2 linked regions of the Coturnix japonica genome follow. The protein of the gene in region 2 interacts with the protein of the main gene of each other region in a biochemical or structural test. Links are inferred from orthologs where the notes say so. Each region holds a gene or a part of one and is shown on either strand. Other genes may lie near its edges. The genes, in order: MYCBP and AKAP1.

Region 1 (4,470 bases), on a different chromosome or scaffold from region 2:
TGCAACGCAAAGTCCCACCCATTTAGGACCCTATTGGTTGACAACGAAGCTTCTCGCAGCCGATGGAGGAGGTGCTGGGAGACGCTCCGGTCATATGACGGCGAGGGTGGGGACATGGGGCCGAGCCGATATATGGAGCCCCATATATACATAGATCAGCCCCTTCTCAGCCTGCACACACATGCTATACACTCTAATTTACCTCCTGCAATAGAGTTGGGGGTTGTTTTGCCTTTGAAACTCTTACACTGTGTTATTTCCTCTTTCAGCTCCTTCCTACACACACGGAAGTAAAATGACTGACCACAAATAGAGCTGCACACCCCCTGCTTGTCCTTATAGTTGAGATACCCACAGAGACACACAGCACTCACATAGAAGAAGCAGGAGTGCGGTTCACAATAAGCCCTTTATTAATAAAGCCAAGGTACGAAAGGAGAAACTACTGTTATTCATCACGCTTCTCTTCTTCAGGTGGTTCATATTGAGCCAGCTGTGGATTTAAAGAGAGGCAATCAGTTAGATGGGGCATCTTAAAAGACACAGGAGCAGCAGAGTTGGATGTTAATGTTCCATAGGGGTAAAGGGTGACCTCCTGTGGTAAAACCCAGCCACAGACCCATGCCAGGCCTCAATAACTAACACTATTTCCCCTCCTGCTTTGGAATGCCTGAATAGAAAAGCATTAGCTTCCCCCCAGCCCTGCTTTACAAAGCTCTTATGGAACCATATACACATTATCAGATAACAAATGGGACTGAATGATGAGATGGAGTTTCCCACTATCCCTTAATTTACTTATTTTGTTAGCAAAAACTGCATTTCAGAATACAAGTCTTCCATCAGAAGCTACATATAGGCAAGGAATGAGATAATATTCCCAAGGCCAAACCCTATAACATCATAATCAGTTATGGCAGTGAAAGTTAGCTGTATTATAAGTGCCAAAGCACCCTTATCAAACACAGAAGTACTTAGGAATACTAAAAAGACTTGAACACTAAATAGACTTTTACTTTGGATTTCAGTTTCTCATTCTCTTCCAGCACAGCTTCGTATTTCTCCTTCAGCTCTACCAGTTCCATACGAAGCGCCTCCATTTCTGGACTCTCAGGAGCTGAAGCTCCCAGGTGATGCTTCAAAAAGCTGATATTGTGATGTTAAGTATTTCCTCAGCTCAACAGGCTGCTTATAACAGCAAGAACCAACCCATAGAGGACAGAAAGGATACTCCAGTGCGCTGCTTGGTTTCTCTGGCTCTTCATATAAGGCCACTAACACTGCAAATACAAGACGAACAACCATTATAAGACATCCATGCAACTCTAGTTTCCAAAACACATACAGCAGACAGAATAAATACAAGTTGCACACCAAGCTCACAGCATGTTCAAGATTCTCACCTATATCCTTCATGTTAAGGACAGAGATCATCATCATAGTATCTTAGTCATGCACAAGGTGAAACAGAGCATCCTATACTTCAATGGGTGGGCAGAAGGGATTTCTTTGACCCACAGGGGACGATAGGGCTGACAATATCAGGACACGGGGAAATGGTTTTAAGTTAAAAGAGGGAAGATTTAGGTTGGATGTTAGGGGGAAGTTCTTCACTAGGAGAGTGGTTAGGCCCTGGAACAGGCTGCACAGGGAGGTTGTGGATGCCCCGTCCTTGGAGGTGTTCAAGGCCAGGTTGGACGGGGCCATGGGCAACCTGATCTATGGGGTCTCTATGGGGTCTCCTGGGCAACCTGATCTAGTAAAGGTGTATGTTTGGTGGCCCTGCCAGGCAGGGGGGTTGGAACTACATGATCCTTGAGGTCCCTTCCAACCCGGGTCATTCTGTGATTATGGAGCACAAAATGAATGACATAACACACACACACCCCACCATTCTGCTTTGATAAATGCTTCTCAAGGAGCTTAAGCGCCTCCCTCCCATTTTCAGCCACACAAACTGCACAGTTTTAAGCTAAACACTTAAAGTTAGAAGCCAAACTTGCTTGCTGCAGGGCTTGGAAGATTTGTTTTGCTTCCACATTGCAACAGCACAGCCACAGCCAGAGGAAATCAAAGGGCTCCAACACACCTGGGCTGAGCACAGAGCACACCCCTCACAGCTGCTACACCCCATAAGCAACGTGCTTTATTAAGTAGGAATATAACACCATGTTGAAAGGATCTTGAGAGCACAAAGGGATCATAGAATTATGCAGATTGGAAAAGACCTCAAAGATCATCAAGCCCAACCACAGCCTAACCAGAACCCTAAAACAACCCTACACTAAATCATACCCCTTAGCAATCATTTAAAGCACAGTGAGCCATAAGAAAGAGATAAATACGTTGAGCTTTCAACGTGCTTTTCTTTCCTATCCAGATAAGCACAGACACCTCCATTAAACCCCAGTATTAGGGGGCTGGCACAGCACATTCCCATTGCTCGGCCCCAACCCAACCCATACAGGCCTTCAATCCTCCTTACCCTTAGTGAGCGTATCCAACACCCCCGACTTCTCCAGGTAGCGCCGAAACTGCTCCCTCTTCGAATCCGCGGCCTGAAGGAGGACGCCCACACTGTCAGAGCACCGGCACATCCCTACCTACACACAGCTCGACCCCTCCCCACCACCAAGGGTTTGGGGGGTTATAAGGAAGGCCCCTCCACCCTCTCGGGCCCGCAGCCCCTACCTTGTGGTGCGCCATCTAACCCCGCAACGCCCGCACCGCCACCGCCCGCCTCTTATATGGCGGCCCCGGCTTCCTACCGTTGGCATGGCGACCCAACCGGAAGTCCCGGTCTCTATCTCTGCGACTAGGCCTTCCGGTTGTGGGAGGTTTGCGCATGCGCGGTGCTTGCAGGCTTCGGCCTGGCCCTGTATCTATACCTGTATCTATATAGATATGTTGGTCTATATGGCTGGCAATAAGAACCCATTCAGAGCCCTATATCTGCCCTTTGGGTTCCTTTCTAACCTTCCAGACTCTTGAGCTGCTACATACGAGCCCCTCAGTGCTGTCTCTTTGCTCTTTAAGCTGTGAAGTCAACACGTTTTTTGCTATAGAGGTGTCAAATGCAAATGGGGTATTCACATACACAGCATGGGGTTAAATGAGCATAATAGCACCTAAATATATCCAAAATGTCCAACCCTACATCTACACAGAGCTGAACGCACACACACTGAGAACACAAACAGCAGCTGCTGGAGAAACACCTGCAGTGAATGGATCTTCCACCTCATTTCATTTACTGGTCTCCATACAATAGATTCTGAGACTGTAATTTGTTCTTTTATGTTTATTGCTTACATATTACCAGCTATTGTAATCCCAGCTTCTCCTCCTGTGTGGCTTTGTATGTGGATTTATATGATGTATATGATGTATATGGTGTAAATGATGTATATGATGTATATGTTGTATATGATGTATATATGATGTAAATGATGTATATGGTGTATATGATGTATATGTTGTGTATGGTGTATATTATGTATATGGTGTATATTATGTATATGGTGTATATGATGTATATGTTCTCCTTAGCTGGAAGGTTAATGCAGAAGATTGGCACAGAGGTTGAAGCCATCCCTCCATCGCCAGCGAAGCAAGAAGTTACTGAGCTAAAAGCAAAGGGCTGAGCTTCTATCTTAACCTCTGCGGAAGAACTGGTTAAAGCTGAATGAGGAAGCTGCTCCTGGGCTGCTCTTATCACAAAGCCCAGCAGTTACCCAAGCACAGTGCTTGGGCAGCCATGCTATATCTGCAGGTCGGTGGGGGCTCTCCGGCTGCTTGCACTGCTTGACAGCGACAGCCGCCCTGATAAGGGCAGTGGTTGGGGGCTGCCACAGCCCCTGCTCTGCTTGGAGCCAGTGCTGGCCTCCCCTGCTGAATCAGGGGTGTTGGGGCGGCTGGGGTGCCGGGTGTCAGCTTTGGGGGGCAGTTGGCTTGCACTGAGGCTGCTCCGTCTCCTGCTGCTGCTCTTTGTAAGGGAGTTTGTGGAGGATCCAACACTCTCAGCTGCTGTGCAGCAGTTCCAGGAGGAGATGATTCCGTGCTGTCTTCTGAGGCTGGCAACAGGAAAAGGCTGCAGGGGAGGCTGCGACAGCATCTCAGCAAAGCTTCTCGAAGCTGTATCTGCATTCTGAGTACCAGCAAGGAGGTGTTTCTGATCAGCTTCTTTCTGCGAGTTCCTCCTTTCAGTCGCAGGTCTGCCCAGCAAACCTTCCCTGCACTCTGTGCTGGCATTCGGAGTCTGACCAGCTAAAGCATTCGTAGCTGGCCTTTTCTTGGGCAGTTTGTTTTCCTGGTTGTGCTGGGTGTAATTGCCTCTGTTTTCTGCGTGGTTGTTTTGAATGGGCTGGAAGATGGGAGCAGAGTTTAAGGCTGGGTAGATGGCAGTGTCTGTTTGCTTCTCCATTAAAAAGGCATAACCACCAAGTACAGAAGGGAGAGTTTTTGGAGGAG
Region 2 (3,744 bases):
GAAGGTACCATTAATCTAATATTGTCTGACCTCCCACATAAGTTAGGCCAGAGAGAATCCTCACCTATTGCTGCTGCAGGCATTTGCTGAAACCAGTCTATTAAGCAGGAGATCACAAGTATTATGCCTGCTGTGTTGCTGAAGGGAGAGGATGAACTGCTTTTCAAAGCCACTAGCTAACTTCACGTGAACATGAGTGGTTGAGGAATGAGGAAGCTTTAAAGACAGAAGTGTTCTTTTGCAGTACCTCTGCCATTAATATTTTGATCCTAAATGAAGTAAGCTCAGGAGCCTCAGGCCTTTCCTGACCCTGCAGCGTGCAATACTATAAAAAGAAGCTCTGAAACGTTTCTCCCACAGACTGGCTGCACTTGAATGGTGCCAAACACACTCTGCAAGCACTGGCAGCCCAAATCTCACAACCTGCACAGCTTATAGGGGTACTGCTGCTAACTGCACACACACGATGCAGCAGGAAACTCTCATGTCCCAGCCAATACAATTAAAATCCACTCCGTGAAGATGAGACAGGACATGGCTTCATTTTGGAAGAAAGTCATTCATTTCCTATCTATGGGTTACAAAATAGTTTCCTCTTTGTGTTCCCCACCTTGGGATGATCACCAGAAACAAAGGAATTCCCTGCACCTCCAGAATACCAAAGGAGGAAGATTTTCTCAGGGCATGTGCAAACCCCTCACATCTGCGAGCAGCAGCATAAACCCTGCCACCCATCTACAGCCTTGGCAGAACCTGCACAGGAGTCCTGCCAGCCACAAGTTCCAGAGATTAAAACCCTGCCCAATGTTGTACCCCTTCTGCACCCAGGGGGGCAGGATTTTAGACACCAGTACGGGAAACACTGCTAGCAAAGCCAGAGCCTGCCACCAGGGGGTGGGGAGAAACAACTGAAAACACAGCAAGCATTTCTAGGCAGCAACTGACATCAGGGCGCTTGGAGGCAGCCTTCTCAAGGCATAACGTGCACATCAGTCTTTTCAGCAGGAAAATATCTGGTATTTGTCTAGCAGACTGAAAACCAAGTTTGCATTTACAGTTACACTATGTCTGAATGCAGCAGAATCTTTACAGCTGCTTCAGCTACAACCTGCCAGTCCTGACACGCTGCTGTTCAGGAGAGTAATTCATTCTCACCCCTATACAGGAAAAAGCCTGGATATTTATTATCTTCCTCTTGAGTAAGACAGACTGTGTCATTCTAGCAGATCCAGAAGAATAAAATACAATTTTTCCAATCCCTAATCCACTTCAGAGGTTGCAATAGGAGGGATAAAGTTTAGACAATCAATTCTGGCACACAGCTGGTGCGCATTTAAACCCACAGGAGGAACACCAACAGTAGCTAAAGAGCTCCATTACCTGGAAGTGGCACCACATTGTCTAGTAAAACTTCTGCTCCTTGGAAAGGTAGTGTTACAAAATCAGACCTTAAGAAGAGAATCAGATCAAAATAAGAACATGGCTTCAAATTACTTCTGTATTCTTTAAAGTGACATTGCTTAATCAACTGCTCTAATAGGAACTCAGTTTATAAATGATAATGGAAAAAAACAACCAACCAAAAAACAAACTATTCCATCAACAACCTAACTAGAAGCAATAAACTGCCTGCTCAACAGGACAAGTCAGTTTGAGCTCCAAGCAAATATCAGCTCTACAACAGAGCCTATGCTTCTTACCTGCAAGCCATTGTCACTCTTTCTAAAACAATTAAGTATTTAACAGGCTTGTATGCAGCTCTCCCAGCCAATGGGGATGGAGAACACAGAAGCTGAATTTTAGTCCTACCTCATCTATTAATGGTACATTTGGGACTCTAGAAGGCATCCGTTTGGTAAGTTTCCAAGCTGAAGTGGCAGAAGTTGCGTGGCTTTTTTGAATGGAAGTGGAGACAAATTGCAAGGGTTTACCACGCACCCAAGAATTCCACAGCCCCACTGCTGGGACAAACCATTTAACCATCTCCCACTTCAGTATTTCAAACTATATGGATGCATTTTATGCCTACTGAAGCCAGATATTGCCTCAGGCTGTGGAAAAGAAACTACAGACCTGATTTGTCTGAGCGTGTCAATCTTTACTCTCTCGTATCCTCCATAGTCAACGTATCTGATCTCCACTTCACCGCTGTCTTTGAAGTAGCCAACAACTTGTGCCCGCCACCATGCCCCATCAAGGCCTGGAGCAGCACAGATGATACCAACTGCAAAGAACAAAATACAGAGAAGCTCAGCATTAATCGATTTCTAGAAAACAGCACTTCACACCTTACTGGTACTACGCAGTTATTTACTAAGAGTCAACAGCATTTCTTACATTGCTTTTATTTTCTTTCACACCTCTCACATTCCCAGGTGAGAGGGCCAGCAGGTGAGACCAGCAATATGCATTCTGCCACTAAATCTCAGCCACTATGATGCTGTTCTATGCAAATATCCACTTCTTTTTCAGCCTCTGGTCACTAGCAGCCAGATCTGCTGTCTCCAACAAGGAAAGCAAGTGCTAATTACTCTTTCCCTGTTATGCACTTCACATTAAGTCCAAGTCACTTACCTTCCACAGGTGTTGGCAGGGTTGGAATTCCAGGCTGAGAATAGCAGACATACATCTGCTGGTCCAGGCTACGCAAGACATGGAAGGTGGGGTGCGTATGCTGCTGTAGAAACATGTGTCCAGCATTGACTTGGTTAGCCACAACCACTTCTACAGTGACTCCATCTGGGAGCATCAACTACCACAGGAAGGAAAGAAATACTCATCAGCTTTTCCTGTCACATAAGCTTCAGTTGCATTTAGAAACACTGTTTAATTCCTTGTTCCACGAGCAACTCCTAAAGCTAACAGCCACTGGTGGGAGAAAACCAGCATTCCAGTAGCTGGCTTCCAAAGGCTGCTATGGATCAGAACCAGAAAGATATCCAGCATTACTCTACACTAAAGGAAATCAGATCTGAAGACAGGCCCATCTTGTGCACAAAGACTATCAGCACAGAGCAGCTGTAGGACTACACAAAAGATCAGAGAGAGTCAGCCATAATCGTAGGTCAAGTCATGCTGCACTATCAATGCTGTTCAACTCCCAAGGAAGCCTCGCCCACAGGATTTTCAATATCAAGGCAACCTCTACAGGGGCTAAGATTTGTCACTGAGGTAGTTTCAAAAGTTAGTGTGCCCTGCCTACCAGAGAGCTGCTGTGCTGGGCAACTTCCCAGAACACAAAGCATTACTCTGCTCAAAATACATCAAAAGTGCCTTTAACTTTATTAAATTCAGTCCTCCTGAACAAAGCTTGTCTTCACATCCATGGAGACAGTTATGTGCACAGTTACTGTACAGATTCTAGATGCCCAATGCAAGCAGCGTTTCTAAGCATCTTGCAGCAAGAGCAGCAAAAACAATTATTCAATGAAACACTAATGTGTAAGCATTCTCCAAATGCAATTAGGTACCATAATGCCACCAGAGCCAGCAAACCAGGGCTTACCCAGGAAGTTATAGGGAGGGAATGAAGTGCCAGCGATGGTGGAGGTGGAGCATAGACGTTGGTGAGACTCAGCTCTTTGAACTTCTTGCCAATAAGGCTCAGTGCTTTTTCCACATGATGCTGGGAACCTGGAAGACACAAGTCCAGCACAGAGTCTGTTGCACAGATATTCTAAGGACATACATGTAGCTGTATTGATTCATGTAGGATACAAAAAACTTCCTAGGCTACATCAACAA

What was found.
Region 1: the proteins of AKAP1 (region 2) and MYCBP form a complex in vitro, tested with the Homo sapiens proteins (2 studies listed by BioGRID). The link is inferred for Coturnix japonica from reciprocal best matches to the Homo sapiens genes AKAP1 and MYCBP.

Annotation. Positions count from the first base shown.
Region 1 is NC_029538.1:2,899,119-2,903,588, reverse strand, and holds MYCBP (C-Myc-binding protein), read right to left. Parts: upstream 2,801-4,470; 5' UTR 2,707-2,800; coding exon 2,692-2,706; intron 2,559-2,691; coding exon 2,486-2,558; intron 1,281-2,485; coding exon 1,232-1,280; intron 1,147-1,231; coding exon 1,017-1,146; intron 494-1,016; coding exon 449-493; 3' UTR 391-448; downstream 1-390. Other genes in the region: GJA9 (gap junction alpha-9 protein), read right to left, coding at 3,761-4,470. UniProt on the Homo sapiens protein: May control the transcriptional activity of MYC. Stimulates the activation of E box-dependent transcription by MYC.
Region 2 is NC_029534.1:7,714,798-7,718,541, forward strand, and holds part of AKAP1 (A-kinase anchor protein 1, mitochondrial), read right to left. Parts: intron 3,634-3,744; coding exon 3,506-3,633; intron 2,753-3,505; coding exon 2,575-2,752; intron 2,225-2,574; coding exon 2,074-2,224; intron 1,449-2,073; coding exon 1,381-1,448; intron 1-1,380.